Mytilus edulis: one gene and its partner. The protein of the gene in region 1 binds, or shares a complex with, the protein of each later gene. Links are inferred from orthologs where the notes say so. Each region holds a gene or a part of one and is shown in the gene's direction. Other genes may lie near its edges.

The links. Proteins that work in one complex are often made in the same cells at the same time.
Region 2: ragulator complex protein LAMTOR4-like (region 1) and ragulator complex protein LAMTOR3-like share a complex: the UniProt entries of both Drosophila melanogaster proteins name them as parts of the ragulator complex. The link is inferred for Mytilus edulis from reciprocal best matches to the Drosophila melanogaster genes Lamtor4 and Lamtor3.

Annotation. Positions count from the first base shown.
Region 1 is NC_092346.1:47,804,371-47,812,573, forward strand, and holds the start of ragulator complex protein LAMTOR4-like, read left to right. Parts: upstream 1-4,821; 5' UTR 4,822-4,952; intron 4,953-7,080; 5' UTR 7,081-7,095; coding exon 7,096-7,176; intron 7,177-8,203. Other genes in the region: UV radiation resistance-associated protein-like, read right to left, coding at 679-713, 1,916-2,036, 4,464-4,517. UniProt on the Drosophila melanogaster protein: Regulator of the TOR pathway, a signaling cascade that promotes cell growth in response to growth factors, energy levels, and amino acids. As part of the Ragulator complex, may activate the TOR signaling cascade in response to amino acids.
Region 2 is NC_092352.1:54,988,042-54,996,339, reverse strand, and holds the start of ragulator complex protein LAMTOR3-like, read left to right. Parts: upstream 1-4,362; 5' UTR 4,363-4,419; coding exon 4,420-4,428; intron 4,429-8,298. UniProt on the Drosophila melanogaster protein: Regulator of the TOR pathway, a signaling cascade that promotes cell growth in response to growth factors, energy levels, and amino acids. As part of the Ragulator complex, may activate the TOR signaling cascade in response to amino acids.

The DNA of each region.
Region 1 (8,203 bases):
AATTTCGTATCCAATGACGGACAGTACAAAGGATTTAATAATTAAGACTTTTCCCGTAAATGTGAGATCTCGTGATTTCCAAACTTCCATACAGCATTTTATTTAATTTATTTTTTCTAACCAAATTTGATCTAAGTCCACCCCGTATCCATGTAGTACATTGTACCCCTAATGCTTTCACAGGACGCTTAGACCATTTAATTTTGTTAAATTTTGGTTTTTTATTTCGCCACTTGCCTAAATACATGCCAACAGTCTTATCCATATTCATTTTAGCCCCCGAAGCATTTTCGTACAGTTTTAAAGTTTTAAATGTTTCTTCGATAGACTCCTCGCTTTTATTAAAGAGTTGAGTATCGTCAGCAAACATATTTAGCTTTGTTTCAATAAAGTCCCCAGTTCTAGTAGGAAGTTTTATTCCTTTTATATTAGGATTGTTTCTCTTTAATACCTATTATAACTTAAGAATATTAGCAAAAAATACATTGGAAATCATCATTTAGGGGCAACAACTCTAAGAAGGATTAATTTGCAGGTTATAGCAATTACTACATATTTTGTCATATACATTTGTTCTTATAATATGAATAATAATTCAATGTACTTTTTCAAATCAACAGCAAGTTTTCTTGATAATGATAAGCTATAATCTTACAAACATTTTGCCGAGTTACTCACCAGAGATCCCTGTATCTTTTCACTTGTATAAAATGCTAAAAAGAAAATTTTATGATGCAATTACATGTACTATGAAAAATAAGTAGATTTCAGTTATTTTAAATAACTGAAATCAACTATTGTCAGCCTTGTACTTTTATCATGTTTATAGCAGATAACAAAATACTTTCTAATATAATTGAAAAGAAACCCCACAAAGGTATCACAATGTGGCTGATATTTAACACAACAGTCTCATTTCATCCATTAGCAAAATTAGATGCATACTCACTGTATGAATACATCAAAATAATGGGAAAGTGTGCTACATGTTGCAATAAAATTTAGAATGGAAACAGGGAATGTGTCAAAAAGACTGACTCAAACAAAGAGCAGAAGTCTACAGAAATCTTTTGCAAAGAATTTCTCTCAAACCAGTGCTAGGGACCGTCTATTACTTGCTGTGCAGTGAGTTGTTTTTTTGCTTCATGTTAAAGGCCTCACATAGACTTAAAGATGAAGAACATCAATAAAAGCCTGTTTCTTTGCTTTTTGTGTTTTTTTAGACTAATTAATAATAAGCATGTACTGCTTTTTAGGTCATGGATTATTACCTCATATATCTTTTGTTTATCTTTTTTATAATGAAAGTCAATCTCTTACTTAAGGCTTAAGCATGTTATTTTTCTTGATTTCACTCCTTCTGTTCAGTCATTGCATTGCTATTGCTTGATTTATACCCCACATATTGTTTTGTTTTATATCATTTTTTGTTTCAGTTGGAAACTAAAATAAGTAGTTAATCAAGTTAATTCCACAAACTCTAGGAGGGCTGGATAGGGTTTACAGCATCTAGGTGCTAAGGTGGGGATAGGACCTTTATCAGGACTCCGGGATCAGGTGTTTTTAAGCTCAGGATTTCGGGATTGACCCTTTAAGGATTCAGGAATTCTTTTTTTCGAATTTCAGGATGTAGGGATTTAAATTTATCAAAATTTGTGACCTCATTATTTCGTGTTTTTAAGCCTGGGATTTCAGGATCAGAACCCTATCTACCACCGTGACCCCTCAATCTAAAATAATGAGTAATAACTACAGAAAACTGGTCCTAAAAAAAAGAGAAAAATATGACAAAAATATAGTGAATAGAGAAAAATGGCCGAAACATTCAAAGAATGCATGAATGAAGACTTCCCCATCCAAACCTTTTATGTTACAATAAGTTATATTAATTCAAGACCATGGTATAACACTGTACCTGGAACATTTCTGTCTATATGTAGAGTGAAGTAGGACTGTAGATTGGTCAAGTCTTTTCCTTTGTGTCCTGGCCAACATAAATTTCTTAAAGCTAGACATCTTAAATGTCTTAGTCTTCTCTGAAAATAACAATATTGAAATTAACAACATATAGCTTTCTGTCATGTCTTTCCAGCCACTGACTATCTGTCCTTTGTTGACCAGCAAAGACCAGTTTTTATTGCAATGTCTTGTCCAAATTTTTAATAGACCAGTATTTCCTTTTATTTACTGAACTAAGGCCTATTCACTACTAGTATTGACTATTTTTTCCAACCTTGTTATAAATATGAAGTTATGGATTTCAAGCTTTATTTTACTTGTGATGTCATAGATAAATGTCAACTGTACCCTATTCATACTGAAACATTCATTCTTATTTTTATTCTGTAATTGATTTACTTGTATAATTTTTCTTAAGGTTTATGTACCCTTCTGTAGCCATTTTTGTACGAACTTTTCAAACTTCAATTGTATCAAAACTACAGATATAATGAATAATAGAGATAGGTCATTTTGTACATATTCCAAGGGGAAACTTGATGCAAAGCATTATTTTTTACTGTTCCATTGCATTTAATAGAAAAAGAGGACTTTGTGGCAAATAAATCAAGATTTTTATAGAAAATCCACAGCCTTTATCCTTCATGTCCTTGTACTCTCATATTTGGCAATTTGATGACTGATAGATATAGGATTATTGCATGCAGTGCTAGCATTGATTTCCTTAAAACAAGTTTATAAATGTAGTTATTGGTTAAGACAAGTATAAATATGGCCAAAATCAAGTACACCTTTTAGGGTGCGCTCGACTTTAGTGACTTAGCACGAGGTGTTTTGGAATTTACAGGTTACTTAGAACTTTTTGTAAAAAATAAACACTAGCACATCATAGAAAATCAAGTGAGTAATTTATGTTTCAAATTTTATAACAAAAATCTCTGTATTAAAGGCTGTGGATTTTCTATAAAAATCTTGATTTATTTGCCACAAAGTCCTCTTTTTCTATCAAATGCAATGAAACAGTAAACAATAATGCTTTACATCAAGTTTCCCCTTGGAACATGTACTAAATGGCCTATCTCTATTATTTATTATATCTTTAGTTTTGATACAATTGAGGTTTGAAAAATTCGTACAAAAATGGCTACAGAAGGGTACATAAACCTTAATGTTATTTTTTTAAATAAAATGTTACCCTCAGTACTTTGTAGACGTCATGGTATAGCTGTAGCCCAAATAATTATGAGACATTGACGTCTTGAAAGGCTATTTTGAATTTTTGCTTTGACGCCTTCCTGTGACGTAAGGCGTCACAGAAGAAAATATAATAGCCTTTCAAGACATCATACAACGTCATAATTATTTCGACTAGATACATGTATAGCTGCAGGACCATGGATCTTAGTCTCTTAGATCCTTATGATATTTTTTTGACAATTTGCACCTACATGTATGTTAAATATATATTTTAAATAAATCAAATCAGAAGGACCTCAGAGCTACGGTTCCGAAGCTAGATTTATATCGGAATAAAATGGAATGAAGAATAGCTGAAAGAAATATTTTTGGGAAGAGTCCAAATATTTATGATGTCTTGGAAAGCTATTTCAAATTTTTTACTTTGACACCTTCCTGTCAATGTTAGGAGCAAAGAAAACATATAATAGCCTTTCAAGATGTCATAATAATTTATTTGGACTATATACTTCATTTACTTTTAGCTAAATTATTATGTACACACTTTGCACAACCAGATGCACATTCACATGAGCCATGTCAGATTATTCGTATGAAAAGTCGCATAAGAAATTGGAAACCAAAATGTTTGTATCGTCGGTGTCGGTAATTATTTGAATATTGTTTCATTATTTAGTTAAGGTTCATCATAACCTTTTGGCTAAAATGGCCGTATTTATACCCCAAATTTTACTCTGAGTACAGACTAACCTATACACCTGCAACAGTTTTAAGGGATGGCAGGAACTAGATATATAAATTTTAAATGCATTTTATGTTTCAGAAAATTATAAACTTTTCTAGATTTTGCTATCCATTTTTTTTCGTTCCTGCAGAAGGTGCAAAAATTAACTAAGTAGTGAAAACGATTGAGAAGCTCCCCTCATATAATCAATGTTGTGAGTAGTATTGATTTAAATGGACAATAGATGGACAATAGACACCTGTAAACAATAGGTGATTTAACAGGTTTAAACTGTGTAACTGAGTGGACCGTATCAAACGAAACTCGGGTGTTTGTTTATTTTGCTATCTTCTGCAGACTGGAAAAAAATGAACATCAAAATCCAGGTAAGTTTATAATTTTCTGAAACGTAGACTTCATATAACTTTTATATATCTAGTTCCTGCCATGCCTTAAAATTTTCCTGGATGTACCAGTTTGTCTGTACTCATAGTAATTTTGGAGGTGTAAACACGGCCATATTTTTCAATTCCTTATGATGAACCTTAATTTGCAGCCAGAGCCTGTTTTTCAAATAAATTACCTGGTATGACGATAATTCGAAGTAGTTTCTGGCTACTTTAGAAGAGTTTTCCATGTTACAATATGATAACTACATTATTGATAAGGACTCGCTTGTGTTTATGCTTTTAGAGACGTATTTGTCAGTCTAGGGGAGTTTTCGCTTTCGGAAATTTACTCCGTCCACCATTTTAAACATCTCGATTTTGATCATGTGACCCAATGTTCTCCGATTGATTTCGCTAAATTGAAGATTGCTTGCACATATTTAGGGCTAAACAATCATTTAAAATCATCCCTTGATGTCTTACTACACTGGTAACGAAATCAAAACAATCAAATATACAAATAGTTGAAGATTTTTCGATTCCGAAGACGAGACTACAGATCATGTGATCGAATAAATTATCTACCGGAAGTTTAATAAGCAGACAGCAAACAGGTGCCCTAAGTTGATAAAAGTTATATTGTTTGAAACAACAATGAACTATAACATCATCTTTTTATAAAAGTAAATATATTGTTATGAGAAACAGTCATATATCTTTTATTCAGCAATCAGTTGACTATTGTAAAACTTTAAAGATAAACTCAATTGACAATAAATAAATAATATATAAATTTTAATTGTAGTACAAATTTGTTCAATTGTATTACAGTGTAATGAACCCCCATACTGCCATAGTCATATCACAGGCACTTGTTTATATCCATTGGAAGACCCACTATCAAAATATATTTACATAAATATACGTTGATAGTGGGTCTTCCAATGGATAGAAACAAGGGCCTGTGGCCATTATAATTACTGGATATCACACAGGTTCAAGAGCTCACCAGAGCTCATGTTTTCTCTGTTATTATGTATATATATGCCGACTCTAAATAAAATTTACTTACTTACTTACTTAGGTTCCTGTAAAATTTTGTTGTCATAAAACAAAATATCTGACACCACAAAATTAATAGAAAAGTGATTGTTGTATGACATCAAAAGTTCAAGCAGCCGTGTCAGCCAAGAATTGTGATAAGGAGTATTGATTAATAAATCCGTGCATTTATACAAATACAGTGGCGTCTCCAGTGTCTGCGTGGCTGGTGATATCGCCCAAACTTGATTATCTCATATCTGCAATGTATTAGACATAGAATAGGTCTTGTTATTGTTTTAGTCTTCCAAAGGGACAGAAAATATTAAAATCAATACATGTAATAAGTTCATGAGTAAATTTATTACTGGAATCCTATAGCTACAATTATAACCATATTTAGCCAATTTCCCATAAAAAAAATTACATCATCAAATAAAAGTTGTTTTTGTTTAAATCAAATTTAGATTAGATCTGTCAAAACAAATTTTGCTCTGCAGCATTGACAATCTGGTTCAAACTTGATTGTATTTCGTCATATAAATCATGCCTTTATTAAAATAAATATGCAGTAACTCACCAGCCATTTGTGGAACTCTCATAACAGAGTTTTTACTAATTTTGGACCGTCACATTTTCAGGGTCCCAAAGTAAGCCTATCCTTCAGAAAAAAACCTGAGTATTCCGACACACTGCTTAATCCAACATTATTTTTCTGTATCCCCAATTACACAGGTTACATAGTAATGTGAAGTCATACGTAAGTCATAGGTGCACAGATATTAATAATTCGCTTCACCAGTATTCATGGTATTGGCAGTAATTAATGCAGTTTTCAACATAAAAAGTCTCATTTAGAAAATCTAAGAGTAGAATTTTTATGACAAAATAATTCTGAAGTCTTGGAAAGCTCTAGTCAGTAGTCGGTACCCAGGAAAAAAAACATATATACAAAAATGGACCACTGATGAATGTCTTCTTCAAACTAAGCAAATGATATCTAATACACTTAATCCATTTTGGAATTCTGTGTTTGAAGCAAGGATGGCGAAATCAGAAAATCTCCATTACAGATTAGTGGTCACTCTGATATTTCTACGTCCCATTGTTACATTAAATTGAACTGAGAATGGAAACGGTGTATGCAATAGATAGACATCAACACAATCAAAAAGCTGAAACAGCCCAAGGCCACTATAAATAGCTAGATGTAATGCAGCAAAACAAAATGCAGTACCTGTAGAAAGCCATAGCTGGCCCCTAAACAATGATATATACTAGTTCAACACAAATGAAAACCACACTAAGGCCAAAAGAACAATATATGTGTTTCCTATATTACATGATCATCTTTGAAAAAAGTAGGGTAGGTAAATGTAGGTAGGGACTTATTTTTATTTTACCATTTTTTTTTCTCACATAGAGTCTATGGGAGGAACATTCTGCTTTAACAGTGCATATTGGAAAAAAATACACAAAAAAACGGGTACATAGGCTATTTTTTTAATTTGGCATAAACTTACAAAACATATAAATGAACCAAAAATTGTAATCCAATCTAATTAGTGATATTAGTAAGTAAGGATAATAAACTAATACTATTCATGCTTAATTAAGGACACAGTCTTAGCAATAATATAAATTGATAACTGATATTTTTCTACAACTTGGTAAGAAGTAGCACACAAAACAGAGTCCTTGAATAGTATCTCTTTGTATAATGACCACTAGTTTAGTGACAATTAAAACATGTACATCATATTATTTCAGATCAGAAAATAGAAAATGACCACTGCACAAGGAATAGACAAGATTCATGACTCTCATGGTTACCTGGTGCTAACTGATGATGGGGCTGTTCTAAGTGTGAGTTTTTTTGTAGTATTGGTACATGCATATATATTTGTTTTGCTTTTGTTGGAAAAAATTCTAACTACTAATTAAAGAAAAGAATAAAAAAATACATTGCATATTCGTTAGGAAAACAATTTTAACAGTACAAGTTTTAATCTTCCCTCATTTTTGTCCATCCTGCAACTTTTGTTGCAGAAAACTCAACATAGGGATAGTGATCCAGCGGCGGCGGCTAAAAGCTTTATATTTTAGTAGGTGGAAGATCTGGATGCTTCATACTTGGTATATGGATGCCTCATGTTGCAAAGTTTCCGTCAGTCACATGTCCACTGTCCATGACCTCATTTTAATGGTTCAGTGACTACTTGAAAAAAAGTTTAGATATTTTGTAAAGTTAAATTCTCTCTTATTATAAGTAAAAGAATAACTATATTTAGTATGTGCGTACCTCGCAAGGTCCTCATGCACGTCAGACAGTTTTCACTTGACCTCAACCTCATTTCATGGATCAGTGAACAAGGTTAAGTTTTGGTGGTCAAGTCCATAGATCTTTTAAAATAATGTTTGTGCAGACATTTCACATTTCTCATTTTAATATCAACTTATCAAGTGTGTCCACGTATGCACTCTATGTTTCCTGGTCCTATATTTGGTTGAAATCCAGACGATATTGTCAAATTTCTCGAAAATCTCTTATCTTGACCTTTTTGAGATATTAAAATCAACGTTTTAGAATTAAACTTTGACAAAAATAGCACCATTTAACTTTCTCATATATGTCTTAAAGCCAACTTAAAACAGTTTTTGTCTTGTAACATTGAACTTTATAATCATGGCCAAATATGGCCCTTACCGAACCTACTCCTTTATCAAAGATTAAGATATATTGAAGTGATGTGCACCTGCTATTATGAAATTGGGGAAACGGAAGAGTGGGGGGGGGGATGGTGGTGACAGTTGAATATGCTTGAAATATTTGCATGTGGATGTATAACTATCAATCAATCATTTCAACATTTCAAAGGTATATTATATTATC
Region 2 (8,298 bases), on another chromosome or scaffold:
AAAATTTCAATATACATTAATTCAATTTATTTTACCTAGAACATTAATTAAGAATTGAATGCTGCTTTTTGTAAATTTATTGGGGTGTAAAAGCGTTGACCGAAGTACATTTTGTATGAAGCGCGGAAGCGCTTCATACTAAAAATGTGCGCACGGTCAACGCTTTTACAACCCTATAAAGTTACAAAAAGAAGCATTCAATACTTATAATTACATTTTTTTAGCTAGAATCATGAAAACACGTTTTTTATCAAGTCTTTATATAATTTACCTGTGCACTTTATTGTGGGACCTCGTGTCATCGTGAATGATAAATGTTATTGTCTCATACAATTGTTTCAGGAATAGCACGTGATGTGCAGTTAGCCAATCAGAATAACGTATTATAATGAAACATACATCTAATGTAATTATTTAGGTATAAAAAAAAAAAAATTCTTTGATCAGTAGCAACTTATTTTGCCGACACGGGACGTTTGCGTTTTTGATACAACATTGATAATATTTTATGGGCATTTTCGCTTCAATTTTATGGACGTTTACGCTCAATTAAGGGCATACGCTACAGTTTTGATCCCGTATTTAAGTTTGATGAAAATTTATATATAGGCTAATTTTTTTTGCCTGATTAAATCAAATATGTAATAAAAAATATACCTTTATATGCTACTTTTTGAGTTAAATGAGGTCGAAATTTTGTATATTTGCTCAAAATTCGGATTTGTGGCCGTATTTTCCCTTTCGAAAGAAAGCCATATTTTTTTTTTTTTAAAAGATAAACACAAATTGTTTTTTGTTAAATAATTTGTAATTTCTGTATTTTATAAATATCCTAAAAACTTATGAATTTTTTATTAAGAAATAACTCATATTTATCAAATGGTCATGAATTGAGAAAAAAAAACGTATTTTTTTGCTGTATATTTATCAACATTAAAAAAAATGCACTATTTACAGTTTTATAAAATTTGGTTCACATAATCTCCCTGCAAAATGAAACAATATGTCGTTTTAAAAAATAGGAGTCCATGCACTCGTTTTCAAATTAAATCAGTTTGAATGATAAAAATCAGTCGAAAAATGCATCTTTTCCCGGTATGTCACAGTTTGACGTCGCGAAAATAACAGTTTACGTTAGCAACGTCATGATCTCCACTGTAACTGTATCGTATGCCCTTAAAAAATAAAATTCACTTAAACAAAAGAATATTTGCGGTTTATAAACATAAGATTTGATATCACTTATACTGAGTTAATGTAGTTGGCGGATGCTGTTCAAAAGTAAAATCACAAAAATACTGAACTCAGAGGAAAATCAATTCGGAAAGTCCATAATCACATGGCAAAATCAAAAACCAAAACGCATCAAAAACGAATGGACAAGAACTGTCATATTCCTGACTTGGTACATGCATTTTCAAATGTAGAAAATGGTGGATTGAACCTGGTTTTATAGCTAGCTAAACCTCTCACTTGTATGACAGTCGCATCAAATTCCATTACATCATCGTCACCGATGCGTGAAAAATACTCTTCAAAGACACAAAAACATAAAAGATACATTAACGGGGTGATAAAATAAAATATAATATTACATATTACCAAGTAACTACCAATGATGACCGATTTATATTAAAGAAATACCACAGTATGCAGAAATGTTTAAAGTTTTTATTGTTAATTTCGCAATGATATTTTTCAGGCTCATCTTAATTTTCTGACAAGGTGAACAAAAAAGAAAAAAATATTTCTGGAAAGGTTTGTTTTGCTTCGGTTTCTAACCAAACTGAAATCGTAAAAATTTGTTATTCAACCAATAGAAAATGAAAACTAACCTCACGAAAATCATGGCCAAATATACAATAAAAAAATCACACATTTCTACATCTTACGGTATTCATTTTATAAAGAAATGCTCATAAAAAGTACTTGGTAATACATTTTTTGAAAAATATCGATTTAAGTTGAAATATTTTTGATTGGAAACTCACTTTTGTCCACCATCTGTACTAGGTTACAGAAATCTAACATAAATACCTGTGCACTAATGGCCGAGCTTTTCATGAATTGAATTGGGATATTGTTTGCTACATTCGAATGATGCATTCGTTAAATTCTGAAACCTAGGTATGCCTCGAACCTTATTGTTCCCATCTCAAACACGCCTAAATTTGTCGTGAATGAAAAATGATAATTCTGTTTTCATATATTTTTTTTATAAATAAAAAGCGCAAACGCACCGTCGGTTTATCAAACTGTTTAAAAGATCACCTAGAGGGACGATAGATACCAGAGGGACAGACAAACTCATAAATCTAAAATAAACTGACAACGCCATGGCTAAAAAGGAAAAGGACAAACAGACAAACAATAGTAGACATGACACAATATAGAAAACTAAAGAATAAACATCACGAACTCCACCAAAAACTAAGGGTGATCTCAGGTGCCCCGGAAGAGTAAGAAGATTCTGCTCCACATGTGGCACCCGTCGTGTTACTTATGAGATAACAAATCCGGTAAATAGTCTAATTCGGTAGGTCACAATCATGAAAGGGGAGGGGATTGTAGTTATGACGTAATGAACATATCCGATATCATTTGTGAAACGGTTATTCCATAACGGACAACCAACTCGTGATGGCGTCCGTAAAATTTACGAAGTGATGATTTCAACTTCACCATTTGAAACTCTTGATTTAATAGCTTCCTTGTGAGCAACAACCCTCTATCAAGAAAATCATGATAGGAAATGCAAGCACGGGAATATCGTATCAATTGGGAGATATATAAACCGTATGCAGGCGCTTCTGGAATGTTGCTACATAGAAATGGAAAGTTCACAATTGGAAAGCTGAAATCATCTCTTTTTTCGTAAAGTTTTGTTTTCAATTGACCCTCATTGTCAATTTCTAGATGTAAGTCAAGATATGAGGCCGACTTAACTGTATCTGTTGTATCCTTTATCTCTAGTAGAATTGATAGATGCGTTCAACATAGTCACAAAATTTTGCTTTGAGTGAAAGAACATCATCTTTATAGCGGAAAGTAGAGTTAAAGTCTTTCTTCCTAAGAAGTTCCTGTATGAATTCAGCCACATAATAATAAAGAAAAAAGTCGACAAGAAGAGGGGCACAATTCGTTCCCATTGGAATGCCGATAGTTTGTTGGAAATCACATCCTACGAACGTAACAAATATATTGTCAATCAAGAAATCAAGCATCTTGATAATGTCAGTTTCAGATTTTTTTTGTTTGAATCAGAGTGATCCTTTACAAAGTAGGATTTATCCCTTCCTAAGACAAGGTACTTGTATCTTCGTTGCTTGGCCATTCTTTTTTATGAAACAAAGCAATATCAACTCTTTCAATTTGTCTTTTAGTTTGGAATGAGGAATACTTGTATAAAGTGTATAAAAATATAATGTTTTAATACTATTACAAAATGAAAGAGAGTTAGATTGTGTGTACTCCAAAAGATCTTTGAAATTTTTAAGTATCCACATCTGATTCACGCCACCTCTAGAATAGGCAGTTTCACAACTTAGTAAAGTGGACAAGTAAAAAAATATATGAAAAATAACTGCTAAAAGTAAAAATAATAATTTTCCTTTAATTGTATGTTAAAAGTCTTAAACTGTAAACTTCCCATGTAAAAGTCAACATAAAACCTGTAAACCTCCTTTATAAAAACACATGAAGACTTAAAAAATGTATATAGTGTATCTAATGTTGTTGTGTTACGATTGTTAATTTATTCTTCAATTATTTTTTTGGTGGTGGAACTGTTCGACATACAAAGTATGGTTACCCTATAAAGGGTGTAAAGATCCAGAGAAGAAGAAGGACATGTCCATAGTTTTGGGGCGCAAAACACGCAAAAGTCCTGAGATAAAATTTCCTCGATTATTGTTTTAAAGTCCAACACTTGAATTTTTCACTTTGTCATTGGTTAGAACAGGCGAATATATAAAACAATTAATGCATAGCCCACTTTTGCAATCCAGTATTTTTCATTTTAAAAAAAATGCAGATTCAGGCGGCTATGCCCTCCCCTCCCCCTTGCATGGTAAAAATGTGGTTGGTTATACAGTGAATCACTGAAGCATTAGTGTAGTGGGTCCCCTCTTATGGCAGTTATTGGCACTGTGCCTCCTAACAAAATGTCGGTATGGATCCGCCATTGTTAGATTTTGCTTTTCTTATCTTTTGGCTAAATTTCATCATGGAAAATTCACAAATGCTTATAATCAAAATAAGTTATAATAAAATGGAAACAAAATAACAAAAGAAAGCTGCACGACAACATTTTGGAAAATATATTTGTCCGTTGCTGTGCTATACTTTTTAAAGTGATTTTGAAGTTTTAAGATTTACCATTAAAAGCTCTTCACTGTGAAAACAGAAACAGTGTACATCATGACAGACGTAAGATTTTATTTTATTTTTTAGTTTATTCTCTACTATCAGACACATTGTTTATTGAATTTTAAAAGAAATCAGGATCGTGAGTTCAACTGTGAAAAAGATTTCATACCCAAATGCCAGGCCTAACTGTCGTTTTGCCGCATAGCGAAAACTTCAACTTGAAAATTATGGGAGGGTCTTTTCAGATGAAGTTCCTTTATCTTCCAAATTATACTGGAACTACTCTACTTAGATAGGTACTACATGATGAGCTCCCGAAGTTTAATAGTGTATGTTGTTTTTTTAATCTATAATCTGGTGTTTTTTATCCAATTATGAATACAACCTGTTACCTGTTACCTAATCTTTATCTTCCTCCTCTAGCAGGAGCTTCGCTTTTATAGCGTAATTCTTATTTGCAGCCTTATTTGCACCCTATCCCTTACACACTGGGCACTCATAAAATCAGTATACGTAGTTATTATAATGTATAACAGTAACATATATACAGCATGCGAACTAATCCGTCACCATGTAAACAAGGTTAACTATATATATATTACACAGTCCAATCGTTCATAGCTGGTTCACTATTTATATCTCCATATCACATAGGCTTAACAATTCTACATATATAGCACTCCTGCCCTCACATTAGCATTTACTGTTCAAACACTATCCTCATTATCTTTAAATCTAAAAACTAGTTCAAGTGTCAAGGAATTCCCAAATAAAGATTATTTTTTTCTGTCCTTATCCATGTTATCATGGTTGATAAAGTTGTTAAAAGAATCAGAAAATGTGCTTCCTGATAAGTATATTATTATTGAATCCTGTTTTCATGCATTGCCAGGGGTCTACGACCTTCCACTGTTGCAATTGGACTATTGTTTCAGTTACTAGCTATGCCAGACGGACCTTCGATTAAAATAAAATAAAAACTAAACTTTGCTGTCCTTTTTAACCATCAGTATCTTAATTTCAAAACCATATTATGATTGAAATTGAGATAATTAAATGTTTCAAGCAAAAGCCTTGAAGATGATGAACGTCATCATGGTCATTTACGTGAACAAAACAAAAGAAATAGAAATGAAGATCTCACTATGCATGTTATAGACTAAAAGAAGATTTTGAAAATTAGGGAGTGATATAATAATTTAAGCCCTGTTAGATCAACTATATTTTGATGAATTGACTGGTCTAATGTCGTGTACATACTGCCTACAGTTTTCATTCGTTAAGATAAAGAAAGTGCACTTGAACAGTCTTCACGATGAACTGTTAAATCTACAGGCCAGGAGCTCAATTTTTGAAATTTTTTAGTGAGATTTTGTTGGCCTGCAGATATGATTTTTACAGGCCCAAGAGCAATTTTACAAGCCTGGGCTGCCAGGGCTGCCCCTCAGCGAGAAGACTGCTTGAAGGGTTACAAAAAATCATAAAATAGACCCAATAATAATACAAAAATTGACAACCCAGCATTTATCTGGTTTAAAGCAGTGGATCCATGAGAGTGACCCAAATTTTAAGTCTTAAGCCTTACCATGCTTAATTGTTATCAGCAATTGTCTAAATTTCGAGTATTTGCAAAAATATGCAAATGATATGCAAATGAGCTGTACCCTGATGCTGATACATACTTATAACAATAAATCTAAGATAGGGGATCGCAGGGTGGGGTAGGGGGGAATTTGCCCCAAAGTTGGTCCTCAGGTGCAAAAAGCGTCTATTTTGACGTTTTTTTTTTCTTTTTCTCGACCTGTAAGTCCAAGGGATGCTAATACATGTAATAGATGCATCCATCTGTAGTTTTTATGTAGAGTGGACCCCAGTGAACACTTTTATCACAACAGTTGTTAGGTCGGAGTGAAACTGATCTGGGTTCATCAGTGTATAGAAGGTCATTTGCACCAAAATTCACAAAATTTCTGATTTTTTTCAATTTTGAACTTTAACTGGATTTGCAACCTGAAGTAGTCGTTTCCTAGGCGTATTTTGATAATAAACACAATCAGTCGTCTGGGCCTTTAGGTAAACAGTATTTGTCAAGGTTTCAGTCCTCTTAACTCCATGTTTCAGACCTCGAAGGTAAGCCCATCCCTCCAAAAAACCCAATTTTGTCCGATATCTAATTTTGAAGTTCGTATTTGAGCTCAAAATGAATATTAAAAGTGACAAACATGACAATCAGTAGTGTCAGATTGAGGAAACTTGCATACACTACGAATTAAATGGCATTATGATGACCTTCAAATGTATGGAGCGCCATTAATGCCTAAATAACGGTGGTCTGGATACGGCCGTAACATTACAGCCCCCGCACGACAAGGGTTAAGATTTATTGTCAAGCATGAAACATGGACAATTTATTCTCAAACAGCAATGTAAGCCTGATCAGTTAAATAGATGTAAGGTTCTTGCAAAAAAGGGAATCCCCTCAGTGACTATGAATTTATTCTTGAAATCCATAGCAAAAATGATGTTGATATTGGTTAGCACTACTTCAATATTTGAGGTTGAAAACTGTTTATAAGCTGGAAAGTTCATTTTATGAGAAACAAAATGAGTTTATGAGTTATGTAATATTTCTTATAAAAGTAGGACCTGGGATTTTGGTTGTGGACCTTTCACTTTTTTCACATTCAACCAAATGTTGATTTGAACCCCTGATGGGGTACATTGGCTTTCATCTGTCCCTCTATTACACATGTATGACACATTTTTCCAAGAAACTAAAATTCTGTTAGTATATATATAACACCTTGGTTCTTCTGGTTTTGAAATAAACATAGTGTGAAGTGTCAATTCCTTAGTCTTTAGAAGAGGGTCAAAAGATGCCAGAGGGACAGTCAAGCTAATAGATCAAAAATAAGCTGACACCGCTGTTACTAAAAAACAAAAAGACAAAGAGACAAATGATAGTTCAAAGACACAACATAGAAAACTAAAGACTAAGCAACACGAACCCCAGCAAAAGGGATGTGGGTGGAGGTTGATCTCAGATGCTCCAGAAGGGTAAGCAGATCAACCCACTTTCTTTGTCAATTTCTAGATGTCAGTCAAGATATGAGGCAGACTTAACTGTATCTTTTGTTTCCTTTATCTCTAGTTTGATGGGATAGAAGTCAACAACCTTCAGAGTTGGTTAAGTTATAGACTTATAGAGCAATAGCTCAAAGTACATCTTTGAAAATCTGTTTGAATTTTTTTTTGAAAAAGAAGGAAATGCAGAACTAGTATATATTTGTTTAGGGGCCAGTTGAAGGACGCCTCCGGGTGCGGGAATTTCTGGCTACATTGAAGACCTGTTGGTGACCTTCTGCTGTTGTTTTTTTCTATGGTCGGGTTGTTGTCTCTTTGGCACATTCCCCATTTCCATTCTCAATTTTAGACATAAGTTTTTATATAAAACAGTGTATGAATTTAAACTTACATAAGCTAGCTAGAAATCTAAACATTAAGAAGTTACACAGTTTGTACATTTGTAGGTGTGGACTTACTGAAAATAACTAGGGGGACGGCAAACTTCTTATAGTTACAAGCAAATTAATCTTTTCTATAGTCTTAATAGTCTCAGAGAAAGTCCGTCAATCCTCTTATATTTTTAAGGCCTCGCCTAGGGGCAGTATGATTATCTGTCTGTGCATCAGTTCGTCTTTCTGTTCATCCTTCTGTCTGTCCTGTTTCAGGATAAACATTTGGTCAAGGTAGTTTTTGATGAAGTTGAAGTACAATCAACTTTAAACATAGTACACATGTTTCCTATGATATGATCTTTCTAATTGTAATGCCAAATTAGAGTTTTGACCCCATTTTCATGGTCAACAAACTTAACATAAAAAATGATAGATTGAGTGGGGCATCCATGTACTAGGATATATTCTTGTT